Oryzias latipes: one gene and its partners. The protein of the gene in region 1 purifies or fractionates together with the protein of each later gene. This does not show direct contact. Links are inferred from orthologs where the notes say so. Each region holds a gene or a part of one and is shown in the gene's direction. Other genes may lie near its edges.

Region 1 (4,292 bases):
CCTTCGAGGAAGGTAGAAAAGCGCTACACAAGTGTACGCCATTTACCCCCGGAATCCTTTTATGTGCCTTATTTTTTCCTCATGGTCTTCTGCCTCCAGACCTGCAGCCACTTCCACTGAAAAGTTTATGCAAAGTTTGGGGCTTCATTTAGAACTCGCATCTATGGAAGGTTCTACCGTTTTGGGTTCTACGTACAGAACGCATGGGCACTGAACGCACGTTGCAAGGTAAACCAGGTCAAAGTTTGACCAAGCAGGGACTTGGTAGTGACGAATGGATGGTGTCCTCTCGAATTCACAGAAGTGCCAACCATTGAAAAAAAGCTCATGGAGCTGCAGAAATGTATAATTGTGGTTTACGTCCAGCAGGAATTCTGTGATTTATCAGAATGGAGCTGTGAAAGAAAAAGTCTTGGGCAAGATTTGCACCACTGACATTTCACACCCAGCCTCTTCCAACTGTGGCAGATATAGTAAACAGTGGGGAAAGAAGAAGAAGAAGCCCCTCCCTGCTTGCCCAGTGTGAACTTAGTATTTTACCCTTTCATGGGTCAATTATGAAACGCATCCTCAGTGATAAACGAGGCAACTCTGGTTGGTCCAAATATGATGGACATGTTTTGTCAGTACTGACAGCCTCGGGTCACAAGCGTAACTTCACTATATGTCACAGTGTGACAGTCATGATAGTTTCAACCAGAACCCAACATGGCTAAGCTAAACGTGGATAGCAACCGCACATTTTAAATTATGTTAAATGAAAAAAAGTCTACCAAAAAAAAAATCATTGAAAATAATAAACATTTAGCAGAAATGGTGTTTTGGTGGTGATGGCCTCAAAGTGTTTTCATACCCTCCCTTCACGACAGGGGTTTTCAGGAGTGGCACAAGAAGGGCAACACAAGATTTAAAGATCTGTTTGTGGACAACACCCTGGATTCATTTGAGCGGCTAAGCCGAACATTTGGTAGATACCTGTTAGGCAGTATCTTCTCTCTCTCGCTGGAGACCGGTTTGGATTTGAAAGTGTGTAAACAGACCAGACGACACCGTGTGGCTGCATGAAGAGCTCAGATGTTTATGGATCATATATCTAAGAGCAACAGAATTTCGTTGTCACAAGTTTCTTGTGTAACAATGATAATAAAGGCTTTCTGATTCTGAACTTCCATTAGTTTGAATCAGAAAGCCTCCCTCTAATTCCATGTTGGTGTTTCCGGCCCTTTGATGTCTCTGCGGTAAAGCTGCTTTGTTCTTTTTGTGTAAAATACCAACAAAAATGACAAAGAGTCAAACTTTTTCTCTTTTTATGGCGATTTTTTTTACAAGTGAGTGGGTAAAAACAGAACAGCTGTGTTCCTGCCGCGGCGGACACCCTGTACCGGCTCTGGGGGCAGACCTGGGGGGCAGAGCGGAGGCGGCTGCGGCTTCTTTGTTCCGCCGCTCAGCAGGATCTGATCTGAGCTCAGCGCGCAGCCGCAGCCGCCCCCCCCCTCTTCCCCCGGAGCCGCGCAGGCGCACTGGCCTCTCTGTGCGCTCTACTGTTTGCATTGTGTCTGAACTGCCGGCGAGCTTTAAAAATATTTTAGCAGCGCGGAAATGTCGGGCAGGTCGGTCCGAGCGGAGACCCGGAGCAGGGCCAAAGATGACATCAAGAGGGTCATGGCCGCCATCGAGAAAGTACGAAAATGGTGAGTAAACGCCGGGAAAGGAGCGCTTCGTTACCCGGGAGCAGAAAGGCTCTCTTGTTGGGGGAGGAGAGGGAAGAAGCGAGACGGAGACGGATGAAATTGAAAGAAAACGACGTTTTCTGGACGGCAGATCCCGCCGCGGCTCAGGTGCAGCGGTCCGCACCGGCGTACCGGTCTTCGCCGGTCGGAGGCGGGCTTCGGCGGGAACCGGTTCGTCGCATAGCCGCTGTTTTTCCGCCGATTTTTAACGGCTAGGGCTGAACCCAGAAGAAGCCATTTCGATGCAGTCACATGAAGCCATTGCTGCTCGCTGCGGAGCCGGGAGCGCGAGCGGAGCGGCGCCGGCCAAACGAACACCCGGCGCGGACGGAGGGACCGTTCGATGACGCTCCGGAGTCCGGGCTCTTCGGCCCGCGAGGAGTTTTAAGGCAGCGCTCGGAGTCGCCCTTCGGGTCCGACGGAGCAGCGCTCGGTCGGTGGGGGTTGGGAGAGGGAAGTCCGCCGAGATGCATGGCTGAACGCGCAGCCAGCGGCGCCGAGCGACCGGTTCGCCGCGGAAAATCACCCTTTAACCGCCTTCAGCTTCTCCGCCGCACATATACGGTTATCACCCGGACACGAGGAGCGTGGATCCAGCCGCGTGACCCCGCCGGGGGGCGGTATTTTTTTCAATTTCTGCCTGTCTGGGTGGATTAATCAAACGTCTCCAGGTCAAAGTCAGAAGTTTATTTTTTTCGATTAAAGTTAAGAAAATAAAACGGAATAAACAAACCGGAACCAGAAACTTTAGGCGGGTAAACAAAACAGTTTCAGTCAGTTATTCCCCCAAATTTAAAAAAAGTTAAACATTTTGTTTGTAAATTGCAACAATTCATTCCTAATAAAAAATATTTTTAAAACACATTTTAACTTCTGTTTAGTTTTATTAACATCAGTTTAAGGATTAAACATTTGTTTCAGTTTACATTTTTTTCTTATATATGAGAAATTTTAATACCAAAATTGTTTATTTAGATAGAGGGATTTTACCTTAACACCTAAATGTAGCTTTTTTAAAGGTTTAAGTAGTGATTTAGAAAAACAAGGGAAATAATCGAATCATACTGATCAATAATCAATATATTGATCATTTAGTGACATTATTTTTATAACTTTTTTGTTGGTTTTTATAAATTATAGAAAAATATTTTTTTCCAACACACACTTCATATTCATTTATGAATAATAAAGCTGTTTAAGATTTTTGTATATATACATCTGATCGGTAACTAATCAATAATATAATTAATGTATTTTGTAAAATATAAAAGTAATAAAATCAGTTTGAAATCTTAAAATAAGATTTTTAAAGAGGAGAAAATAGCATTTTTCACATAAATCCCTTTTAACATATATATTTAAAGGATTTATTATTGATATAATTAAGGGGAAAAAATCTTCTTTTGATGTGATTTTTGGTTTTTTAATGAAAGGCGCTTCTGTCAGGATGATGAGGTTTTCCCCTTAAAGTCAGAGATGCTTCCTGTCCTGATGGTTTCCTCTCTTCAGGGAGAAGAAGTGGGTGACGGTGGGAGACACGTCCCTCCGCATCTACAAGTGGGTCCCGGTGACGGAGCCCAAATCTGAGGACGTGAGTCCGCCTCTGACACCTGTCAGCCGGGGTTTCTCTTCAAAATGGATGATTCTTATTTTCCGTTTTCAGAAAAACAAAAACAAGAAAAAGGGCAAAGATGAGAAGTACGGCTCAGAGGTGACGACCCCGGAGAACAGCTCGTCTCCGGGGATGATGGACATGCACGGTGAGGCCCCACCCCCCCACCTGAGGTCACAGCTGGACATGACAACAGGTCGTTCTCTGATGAATGTAAATAAAGGCTGAGCGTGCTTCTCCTTCAGACGACAACAGCAACCAGAGCTCCATCGCAGACTCGTCCCCAGTGAAGCAGGAAAACAGCTGTAGCACAAGCCCCGCCCCCGAGAACAACGCCGCCACGCTCCGTGAGAACAGCGAGACCAAGAGCGAGCAGAGCCCGGACAGCAAGAGAGGTCAGAGGTCAAATGCAAACAGCAGCTGGTTGGAGCCAGCGACCCCTCGGCGCAGCTGTAGCCTCAGCGCCGCCCTCAGGGAATTCAACCGTCAACCGTGTTTTCCAGACGGGCTCTGATTGAGAGCACAGAGAGGAAATGAAGTCAGACAGTCTGAGCCAATCAGAAAGGCTCTGTGTGAAGCCCCGCCCTGATGCGTTGTGAAAACGGCGCCCTCATCATGGCCGATCTTCAGAAAGACCAATTAAGATTTAATTGAAGCAAAACTGAACGAATCCAATACTTTGACGGAATAAAAGACAAACCTTTATCCCAATTTGTCACAGAATTCCTTAAATACGACCAATTCAATTTATAAACCCTAAAATTACAACAATAGTTGTCCTGATGGGCTTCAATGTGACGGAGAACCTTTACATCTCGTTACAAGTTGCAGTTCCTTCATTTCACCACAGGGTGTCAGTAAAGCACCACAAAAGGGACTGCAGTTTGATCCAAGCTGTGACCTCTGACCCACAGGTAAGACCACGCCCTCGTCAGAGACCTCAGAGAGAG
Region 2 (3,500 bases), on another chromosome or scaffold:
AATCATCTTCCAATTTCATCAACCCCCCCCCCTTCCCCCCCAAACGTACATCTCCTCTTCTTTACCGTTCGCCCAACAAAAAAAACTGAATCAAATATGATTAATATAAATAATGTTTAGTCTGAGTTACAAAATGGGTTTATTCAAATATACTCCTTGTCAGTCATAAGATTCATAATCCCTGTTATGTAACAGTAAAATATACAGCTCTCATCTGTTTCTCATCTGTTCAAAAAAAAAAAAAAAGCTGCTGCAGATATGCGACAGAATAACAAATATTGGCGCCAATGATGGTACAAACCCTTGGAAACATGGAAATCCCATCTTTACAACATCAGGGTCGGCCTCCGGAAGCAGCAGTACAGTAAACCCCCCCGAGGATGTTTCTCCTCTTCAGAATGTTGTTTTTCAGCATCAGTGCAGGCTTAAACTTGAACATTGGTGCTCCTCGTACAGATGGGAAACCTCATCGAACAGCTGAACCGTATCGTGTGAAGTTAAATTGAACTATTTTCCATTTGTCCCCACCCCCCCACAGACTATCTCCGCCAAAGCTATGGACTGTCCACAGACTTCGTTCCGCCCTGCGACTACAGCAAACTGGTGCTCTCTCTCCTGTCGGGCCTCCCCAACGAGGTGGACTTCGCCGTCAACGTTTGCACACTTCTATCCAACGAGAGCAAGCACGTCATGCAGCTGGACAAGGACCCCAAACTGGTCACGCTGCTGCTCGCCCACGCCGGCGTCTTCGACGACTGTACGTCCACAGCCCTCGTTTCGGAGCGTTCTCCCTCTTCCCGACGGGGGCGGCTTCCTCTAAGTCAACTCCTCTGTTTGTGTGCAGCTTTAGGCAGCTTCTCTGGGGTGTTTGGGAGCGACTGGAAGGAGAAAACGTCCCGGGACTTCATCAGGGTAAAGACTTTTTTGATTCTGCCCCCGCAGCGGTCCTAAACTGCCAGGACCCAAAATGTTTTTGCAATTCTGCTTACTGTCTGACTGCGCATTGAAAGTAAAATGTGGCCCCGCCCACAAACTCAAAACCCCTAAATGTTTGCACAGCTAGTAGCTGCAGAAAATGGACTTTTGAGGACAAATGTTGACATGACAGCAGGAAAGACAATCATAAAAACGAGACTCGTTTGAGGCTAAAAAGTTATCTTCACCAAATTTCACAAAGTCTACAACTGAACCTATGTTGACCTTTGACCTCAGGAAGAGGCAGCCATGTTGAATTTTCAATAACCTCTCCTTTGGTACCAGCTACGAGTTAAAATCTTGGGGATTCTCATTTAACGCCTCTGAACTCTCCGAGCATCACTGCAAAGCTACTTGGGAAATGGATGTTAGAATGTTAGTGGTCGATTTTGAACGGCGTTTGCGTGGCGAGCTTGAAAAAAGAAAAAAAGGTGCTCCCCTACTGTTCGCACATTTTTTATCCGAGTGTTGTGAAAATGTAATTTGTGAATTTCTGGCTCAAGCTGCACGAAACCATAGAAACATACGATATGACTGGGGTAGGAATGTGGGCGTGGTTAACAAAAATCCTCAGTTGTCAAGGAAATCCAAAAGTTTACTTTTGCAGATTCTTCTTCAGATTACATCGATCTGTTGTGACCTCCAGAGGACTTAAACATAATATGGTTGCTATGGAGATAAACTCAACAGAAAAGCTGCCGCGTTTCTTTTGTCACCTGCAGCTCTGATCAGGGTGGGAGGATGAGGGGTGTGCAGCCTGTATGCCTGGGTTAAACGGGGGCGGCGAGGGCGTAGGCGGGGCCATACAACGCTGCTCGCCATTTCAGTGACGTTTCGGCAAGCCCTGTAGATGCAGAAACTTCAGAAACGCCGCTGTTTATTGTACCTGAAGGACTTCAGGAAAGTCCAAAAACTAAACTCGGCGCGCTTCCCGCTCCCTTTACCTCGTTGGGACTCCTGAGTTCCTGACTTCCTTCAAAGTGCATCCTGGGAAATGTAGGCTACATCTTTTCACGAGGAAACAGGTGTGAGCTGCTGTTCTACTTCCTTACAGTTCTGGAGGGAAGTGGTGGAAGACACTGAAGTCCGGGAGCTGATCTGGGACAAAAGCGGCCTGACCCAAGGTGAGGGCGTGGCCCGGAGGCACACGGGTGTTTGACGAGCTGTCATCGAATGTTTGTTTGACCCGGCTGGGTTCACATGACTCTAGACTTGGTTGATGTGAAATCCATAAATCCATTAACTTTTAAAGCTGTTTTTCTTGTCTCAAGTTTTGGATGTTAAAAAGTAAGAATGAAAAAATTCACTTTTGTTTATTTAAAACTGCCAGATAAGTTTTCTTAACCAAATGAGATGAAGATTCAAGTAAAAATGTGCAAAGAATTGAACAGGAGTGATTCATGACTGGGACAGATGTGCAGATGTTTTAGTACTGTCACACACACACACACACACATCTGGAGGAGGCTGTGCGTCAGTGTCTGTGCAAGTCCAAACCCCTGGCGGCTCTGAAGGCCCTCCCCCTGTGTTGTCTGCGCAGACGGCACGTGTGGAGATCGCTGGCAGAGCCTCTTCCACCCGCCGCGAAACCAGGGCATCAGCGACATGGAGGCCCAGCGGGTGCTGCAGGTCGCCGTCATCCTGCGAAACCTCTCCTTCGAGGAGGCCAACGTCAAGCTGCTGGCGGCCAACCGAACGTGCCTGCGCTTCCTTTTGCTCTGCGCCCACTGTAACCTCATCTCACTAAGACAGCTCGGACTCGACACGCTGGGCAACGTGGCGGCCGAGGTACGGCGCTCGAACGTCAGCGCTCTCACCAGTTTAATGTCGGACAGGATTTTCATGGACCGCTCGGTCCGAGAATGAAGTTGGCGTCTCCGTTGATTTAAAGTTTCCAGTTTTCTTTAACTTTTGAGGGTAGAGATGGTCTCCCTCCTCTGTAGCGTCTTTAACCTTGGTTTCTAGATTTCCTGTTGGAACCGTTCAAATGTGATTTTAGATTTTCTCTCGACTGTCAAAGTGGAAGCTAAAACATCAGACGCCAGCTTCAGCCTCGGATGCTGGACGCTCCCCTCTGTTTGTGTGCGGGGGGTTTGAACATGCGGTTCTCTCGCTGCAGCTCCAGCTCGACCCCGTTGACTTTCGGACGACGCACCTGATCTTTCACACCATCACCAAATGCCTGATGTCCAGAGACCGCTTCCTGAAGATGAGGGGTGAGTCTCCTCCCTGCTCCTGGGCTCCTCTATGTCAGATTGAGCTGACCCCCCCCCCCTGCTCCGTGTGTCCCTCAGCCATGGAGATCCTGGGGAACCTCAGCAAAGCGGACGACAACAGCGTGTTGATCTGCGAGTATGTGGACCAGGAGTCGTACAGGGAGGTGATGATGCTCCTCACCCTGCCCGACCTCATGCTCCTCATGGCCTCCTTGGAGGTGCTGTACCTGCTGGCTCAGCTCGGAGAGGTGTCCTGCAGTAAGATCGCCTCCGTTGACCACAGCATAGGTATGAACCAGAACCGGTCCC
Region 3 (3,500 bases), on another chromosome or scaffold:
AAAATTATCCTGGAGCCCATGGACCTGAGGACCATCGAGCACAACATTCGCTCAGACAAGTATCTGACCGAGGACTCTATGGTGGCAGATATGAAGCTGATGTTCCGCAATGCTCGGCACTACAATGAGGAAGGCTCACAGGTGAGACTGCTCACAGTTTCTGAAGGTTCTCTGTTGTCCTCGAGGGATCAGTCATTCACAAAAACAACTAGAACAAAGAGAAATTAACCTTTAATAAAGTAAACAAGAGGAGAAAAACCTTTTTGACCTTTTGAATCTGCGCTTTTGCAGGTCTACAATGATGCAGACATCCTAGAGAAGATCATGGAGGACAGGCGCAGAGATCTCGGACCAGCAACTGATGAAGACGACACCATGTCCCCCAAGTTAAAAATAAGTAGGTTTCACAGCCAGTGTCAAAAAAGTACACCGACCTGTTACTGAGAAGCCTTTGTGTTTTGTTTATTTCAGGAAAGAACAGCATCAATCTGAAGAAATCAAAGTACTTGAGTCCCTTACAGCAGAAACTCAATGAGCTTTACGAAGCTGTCAAGAACTACACAGACAAACGAGGTCGCCGACTCAGCACCATCTTCCTGAGACTTCCATCTCGCGCTGAGCTCCCCGATTACTATATCGCCATTAAGAAACCGGTGGACATGGAGAAGATCAAGAGCCACATGCTGGCTAACAAGTACCAGGATGTTGATGCTCTGGTTGAGGACTTTGTGCTGATGTTTAACAACGCCTGCACCTACAACGAGCCAGAGTCTCTGATTTACCGAGACGCTCTCTTGCTGCACAAAGTGTTGTTGGAGACCAGGCGGGATCTGGAAGGAGGAGAGGACACCCACGTGCCGGACGTGCCCCGCCTCATCCAGGAGCTTGTTCGCAGCCTCTTTGTATCTGTTCTTGGTCACCAAGACGATGAGGGGCGATGCTACAGCGATTCTCTGGCAGAGATTCCTGCTGCTGATCCAGCAAACTCTGAGAAACCTCTGCTTAATTTTGAGATCATCAGAAAAAATGTGGACCGGAGTCGCTACAGGAGGCTGGATGTTTTTCAGGACCACATGTTTGAGGTTCTAGAGAAAGCCAGACGGTTAAGCAGGTGAGGTATTGATCATGCTCACAAACAAAGGATTGCTTTTTTTTAGGTATGTACAAAGTCTTTGATTTATTACAGGACAGATTCAGAGATCTTTGAAGATGCAGTGGAGCTGCAGCAGTTCTTCATCAAAATCCGAGATGAGCTGTGCAAGAATGGAGAGATCTTGATGTCCCCTGCCCTCAGCTATACTAGTAAACATTTGCATAGTGATGTAGACAAGGAAAAGAAAGAGAAACTTCCCAAAGAGTACGAGGAAGACAGAATCAAGAGAGAAGAAGAAAAAAAAGGTATACTAGAAATACTTGTGAAAACCAACAACTGCAGTTGTGTATCTCCTTCTCCTCCTACATTTCTTCACACAAAACCTTTTACTCCTCAGAGGCAGAAAAGAGGGAGGACCCAGTAGTAGCATCGTGGCCCGTTCAGCGTACATACAGCCAGGACTGCTCCTTCAAGGATAGTATGTACCATGTGGGGGACTGCGTCTATGTCGAGCCTGCAGAGTCGAACCTACAGCCACACATAATCTGTATTGAGCGTCTCTGGCAGGATGACACCGGTCAGTGCATTTCTCAGATTTGAATGTGGGGGCTTCAATTTGCTTGAGTGACTTAGAGGTTACAAAAATAAATATCTTTGGTTGTCCAGGTTTAGAAGAAGCCAATGTCTGAAGAAAACACTACAACGTTATAGAAACACATGTATGTTCCATAATATGAACTATTCTGGTCAACGCACTGACGAAAATGTAGCGATAATGCAAATTCAAAATGTTCTGGCTGTGTGGAAATTAAGAGACAAACACTGATGCTTGAAATGCTTTATGAAATTGACTTGAAAATGATTGCTATTAGTGTAAAAATCTGATTTGGTTTGCTGATATTCCACACATAGATGAGTTAAAGCAGTGACATCATTCAAAAACCAGCTCCTGCTCCTCAACTCGGGAAAGCTGATAAGATACTTTTCAGAGACAGTGGACACTGGTACACAGATGTTTAACTAAAAGCATTACAGAAAGCCGTGAACCTTGATTTAATGCAAGGGTTGTACAGTGGTGTAGTGGTTAGCACTTTCGCATCACAGTGAGAAGGTCCTGGTTTAAATCCAAGCTGGGTCCCTGTGCATGGGTGCATTTTCTTTAGGTGCTTAAGGCCTGAAGAAGCCATAAATGTGCTTGATAGGACGGTAGGTTATTTCAAATTGTCCCTAAGTATGAATGTGTGTTTGAATGTGTCCCCCTGCGATGAACTGGCAACCCATCCAAAGAGTAACTGCCTGCTCCCAACAGTAGCTGGGATAGGCTGCAGTAACCCCCCCTGACCCCAAAAGGGATTCAGCAGGTTTAGAAAAGAGATGAACTTCCTGCAGATCCAACCGTGAAGGAAACAAATGGCAGAAAAGACAAAAGGAGTGTTTTAGACTGTACCCTCCTAATATTTTTAGTTTATTTACATTGAAAATGTGCAATTTTCTTTACTGTTAAAGGTGGTTCACAATCTAAGTTATTGTCTGTTATTCAGTTTTTGTTCTTTTTCCTTTCCTGACTTTCCCCTCTCTCCATGTAAATCCGGTCGGTTTTCTTCCCTCTCCGATACAAACAGGGGAGAAGTGGTTGTATGGATGCTGGTTCTATCGACCAAATGAAACGTTTCATTTGGCCACAAGAAAATTCTTGGAGAAGGAAGTTTTCAAGAGCGATTACTACAACAAAACTCCCATCAGCAAAATTCTGGGAAAGTGTGTTGTTATGTTCGTAAAGGTACTTTGCTCCTGCTAAAATCTCTTTTTAGATTTTTTTCCCCCACTCTAGTATGTGTTAACCAGATACTTTTGGAACTCTAGGAGTACTTCAAGCTCTACCCAGAAGGTTTCCAGGAAGAGGATGTGTACGTCTGTGAATCGCGTTACTCTGCTAAGTCTAAGTCCTTCAAGAAGATCAAGATGTGGACCATGCCTCTGAACTCAGTTCGGTTCACTCCTCGAGAAGTACCCCTTCCTGTGGTTCGTGTAGCTTCCATATTTGCCACTAAACCAGATGAGAAGCCACCGGAGACGGAAGACGAGAGCAAAATGACAGATGGGGTCATAGAGAAGGTAAAAGCTTTGTTTGTTTGTTTGTTTGTTTGTTTGTGTGTAACCTTCAAATGCTAAAGTTTTTCATGTCAACAGGAGAGGGAGGACGTTCCTTTGGATTTCACCAACGGAGAGCCAGGCTGTCAGTACTACGAGCAGCTGTGCTACAACAACCTGTGGCTGAAAGTGGGAGACTGTGTTTACATTGGTTCTCATGGACTGGTGCGTCACCGAGTGGGCAGGTAAAGGAAATACTGCCATTCTGAACATACTGATCTATAAATGTTTTTTCTGTTGAATATTTCGTATCTTA
Region 4 (2,870 bases), on another chromosome or scaffold:
GTGTATTCTGTGCACATGTATATATATATCTAAGTGCCAATAACTCTTTTCTGCTTTCTAAATAATATGTTTGGTGGAATTTTGAAATCAGGCAAGTTGATTTAAGTGTTAAAAGTTCTTAAAAAAATTTGAAAACTTATAATTTACTTCAGTTTTTGTGTAAAGAAAGATTACAGACCTCTTTAATTTTCTTTTATAAGCGTGTTTTTTTTTTTGTACCCCCCTCTCTGTTATTTAACAGGACAGCTCTTCAGGCAACGCCTCTGACGTGGAGAGTCAGGAAGGTGGAGGTGGGCAGGGCAGCAAGTCTAAAATGAAAGACAGGACATCAACACCAGGCAAAGATCAGCGCCAGTCTGCCCTCCTCAAAGCCTCCCAAGGGTACAAGGTAGAGGACAAAACCACCTGAACTTTTCTCCAAAAAACAGCAGCAGCACTTTTCTACCCCTCCTCCTCCTCTTTTTACTACCACTCCTTTACTCCATACATCCTGCCCTTCCCTCTCAGTTCTCTTCACTTTGTTCTCCAGCTTCTGCAGTTGGTCAGCCTTTTCAAGTTGGGACATATTGGTTCACACATGCACCCCCCCCCCCCCCCCCCCCCCACACACACACACACACATACCCATTCCTGAGGGGTTACCGCCTTCAGATTTTGGTTTTAATCCAGCAATGTGGCTATTTCTTCCTCACATTGCAGTAAACTCAAAGCAATAAGAATATTTTAAAAGAGGAAATCACTTATTTTTTTTGTGGATTATTTTTAGTTTAATGACTTCAAGTGAATCTTTCCCTTTCATCAAGTATACCTCTTGCCTGTCCTCACTTGTCAAAAAATAAGAGTAAGTTTCCAGACAAGTAAGTGGATGTTTGGCTGCTAGTTTCCTCATTTATTTACTCTAACATAGAAAGCATCAACCACGTATAACTTGTGGTTAATATCTAAGAAAATTCATGTTAAATATAGAGTATTTAACCTTTACTTATGTTTACTTCAGATATGTAATCCTAATGTTTAAAGTATGTACTGGTATAAGAACATCATTTGTTTATACACAATGTGGTGTACTGTTAATATGTTCAGGAGTACCTTGCAGTTGTTTGGCATGGTTTTCACCTGTCACCATGGAGACGCCTAGCTCTGCTGCCCCTGTTCACACTGATGCTGAGCTGAGATACAAGTTTGTGTGCTGACTGCTTCAGCCATGAACTCCCAGTCATTCAGTATCTTTGCCATTACTTTATGAAGCTATTGGACCTCACAGATACGCTTGAAGCACTTTTAATGAGACATTTTTGTCCCCATCGTAAACTTTATTTTCTATTTTAGCCCGCAGCAAATTCTCAAAGTAAACTGTACTGATGGATCAATATTCAAGGGGCAATAATGGACCCGAACGTTTGACTTCAGCTCAGCTGTGTGGTGTGGACATGGCTCTTTGAATTTTAGTGTCTGTTTTGAATTTTTTTTTATGAAATGAAAAAGGAAAAAAAAAACTACTTCTAAGTACTTAAAGGTTTTCAAATATGCCATGGCATGCTGTTAGCTGAAACTCCTTAGAATATCATTCCTCAGATATTGACATTTTTGTTAAAGAAAAGGGTCAATGTAGTGTTTGAATATCAAATGTAATGTGCAATTTTGTAAATTTGGTAAATTTTTTCAAGTCAAAGCTCTTTCTTCAGCTGATCAAAAGAATAAATGACTTGTATTGATTGCATCTACTTAGTTTATGTTATTTTGCACTGGTCTGTTGTGCACAAGTTCTACAGTAAAAAGGGAACTCATGTCACATCTCAGGCTTTCACTGATATGACGGGGGAACAGTGCACATTAGATGTTTACTTTCTGCAACAAATCTGAACAAACTTGATTAGGGATTAAAAAACCCTAGAAATACCCTGACACTGCTCTTTAGAAAGGGGTTTTTGAGGAACGATTTAAAAATGGGTGAAAACTGTCCTTCAGTTTACCGGTAAAGGTGTAGAGCTATTCTTTGTTTTGTAGGTCAGTATTTAACCAGATTTTGTAGACTTTCATGGCTTATATAAAATCTTAGCGAGAAATTTTTTCTTTTTTTTTTTAAATAATCAATGTGGTCCAAAATAGATCAAAATAATAGACTACACTTCAGCCAAGAATCATCAACGATAGTGTAGTAAAATGTTGACAGAAGATTTAATGAACACATTTCACCTATTTTGTCTTCCTTTTTGCTTTCTGAATCTTGGATTTGTTAGTATTTGAAGTCTTTTCATTATTAGCAGACTTTATTCTTTCGTTTTGCGTCTTTATTATTATTTATTTACCGTTTTACTCTGGCCTTCTTCCTTTTTAAGGGAGATTTAAAGGATGGTTGTCACACTGTAACTTTCCTCAAATTTTTATGTTTATGCTACTGACTTAAAAATCTTTTATTTATTAATAATAGCAAAACATGACACGCATCCACATATTTGATGACTTCTTTGAATCCAGGAACATTTAGGACTTTTTGACTGTGTGACATCCACGTGTAAGCCTCCCTAACTACAGTATTAACATTTCTCCCCTTTTGTCTGTATTTCCCCACTCTGCTTTCTTTTAAACAAAACCGTTTTCAAAACAAAAAAAGAAAAAAACCTTCCAGAGTTTCTGTAATTGACATTTACAGAGGTTTTAAGTTGTATTACTAATAATTTCTAAATGATAAATAGCTGCATATCATAAAGTATCAATCATACAGCATTTATATTAAGGTTGGTGGTTTAATTTCTGGCCGGTCTGTGGGCAAGCCATTGAAACCCGTTTTATACATTAATAAGGCAATTTTTTGGCCTAAAATAGGATTTATGAATATGTATTATTGTGATTTAAACTCTAATAATGCA

What was found. Proteins that work in one complex are often made in the same cells at the same time.
Region 2: the proteins of bcl7a (region 1) and arid2 purify together in Homo sapiens (affinity purification with mass spectrometry; 3 studies listed by BioGRID and IntAct, counting the BioPlex papers as one, with this or other methods). This does not show direct contact. The link is inferred for Oryzias latipes from reciprocal best matches to the Homo sapiens genes BCL7A and ARID2.
Region 3: the proteins of bcl7a (region 1) and pbrm1 purify together in Homo sapiens (affinity purification with mass spectrometry; 3 studies listed by BioGRID and IntAct, counting the BioPlex papers as one, with this or other methods). This does not show direct contact. The link is inferred for Oryzias latipes from reciprocal best matches to the Homo sapiens genes BCL7A and PBRM1.
Region 4: the proteins of bcl7a (region 1) and phf10 purify together in Homo sapiens (affinity purification with mass spectrometry; 3 studies listed by BioGRID and IntAct, counting the BioPlex papers as one, with this or other methods). This does not show direct contact. The link is inferred for Oryzias latipes from reciprocal best matches to the Homo sapiens genes BCL7A and PHF10.

What each region holds. Positions count from the first base shown.
Region 1 is NC_019870.2:1,211,988-1,216,279, reverse strand, and holds the start of bcl7a (B-cell CLL/lymphoma 7 protein family member A), read left to right. Parts: upstream 1-1,492; 5' UTR 1,493-1,599; coding exon 1,600-1,691; intron 1,692-3,239; coding exon 3,240-3,490; intron 3,491-3,587; coding exon 3,588-3,737; intron 3,738-4,256; coding exon 4,257-4,292.
Region 2 is NC_019881.2:3,999,490-4,002,989, forward strand, and holds part of arid2 (AT-rich interactive domain-containing protein 2), read left to right. Parts: intron 1-538; coding exon 539-757; intron 758-844; coding exon 845-912; intron 913-2,029; coding exon 2,030-2,099; intron 2,100-2,515; coding exon 2,516-2,763; intron 2,764-3,094; coding exon 3,095-3,191; intron 3,192-3,269; coding exon 3,270-3,479; intron 3,480-3,500. UniProt on the Homo sapiens protein: Involved in transcriptional activation and repression of select genes by chromatin remodeling (alteration of DNA-nucleosome topology). Required for the stability of the SWI/SNF chromatin remodeling complex SWI/SNF-B (PBAF).
Region 3 is NC_019863.2:2,540,831-2,544,330, forward strand, and holds part of pbrm1 (protein polybromo-1), read left to right. Parts: coding exon 1-141; intron 142-291; coding exon 292-397; intron 398-471; coding exon 472-1,111; intron 1,112-1,186; coding exon 1,187-1,398; intron 1,399-1,490; coding exon 1,491-1,670; intron 1,671-2,715; coding exon 2,716-2,873; intron 2,874-2,956; coding exon 2,957-3,208; intron 3,209-3,283; coding exon 3,284-3,429; intron 3,430-3,500. UniProt on the Homo sapiens protein: Involved in transcriptional activation and repression of select genes by chromatin remodeling (alteration of DNA-nucleosome topology). Required for the stability of the SWI/SNF chromatin remodeling complex SWI/SNF-B (PBAF).
Region 4 is NC_019861.2:24,492,882-24,495,751, reverse strand, and holds part of phf10 (PHD finger protein 10), read left to right. Parts: intron 1-241; coding exon 242-388; intron 389-2,870. UniProt on the Homo sapiens protein: Involved in transcription activity regulation by chromatin remodeling. Belongs to the neural progenitors-specific chromatin remodeling complex (npBAF complex) and is required for the proliferation of neural progenitors.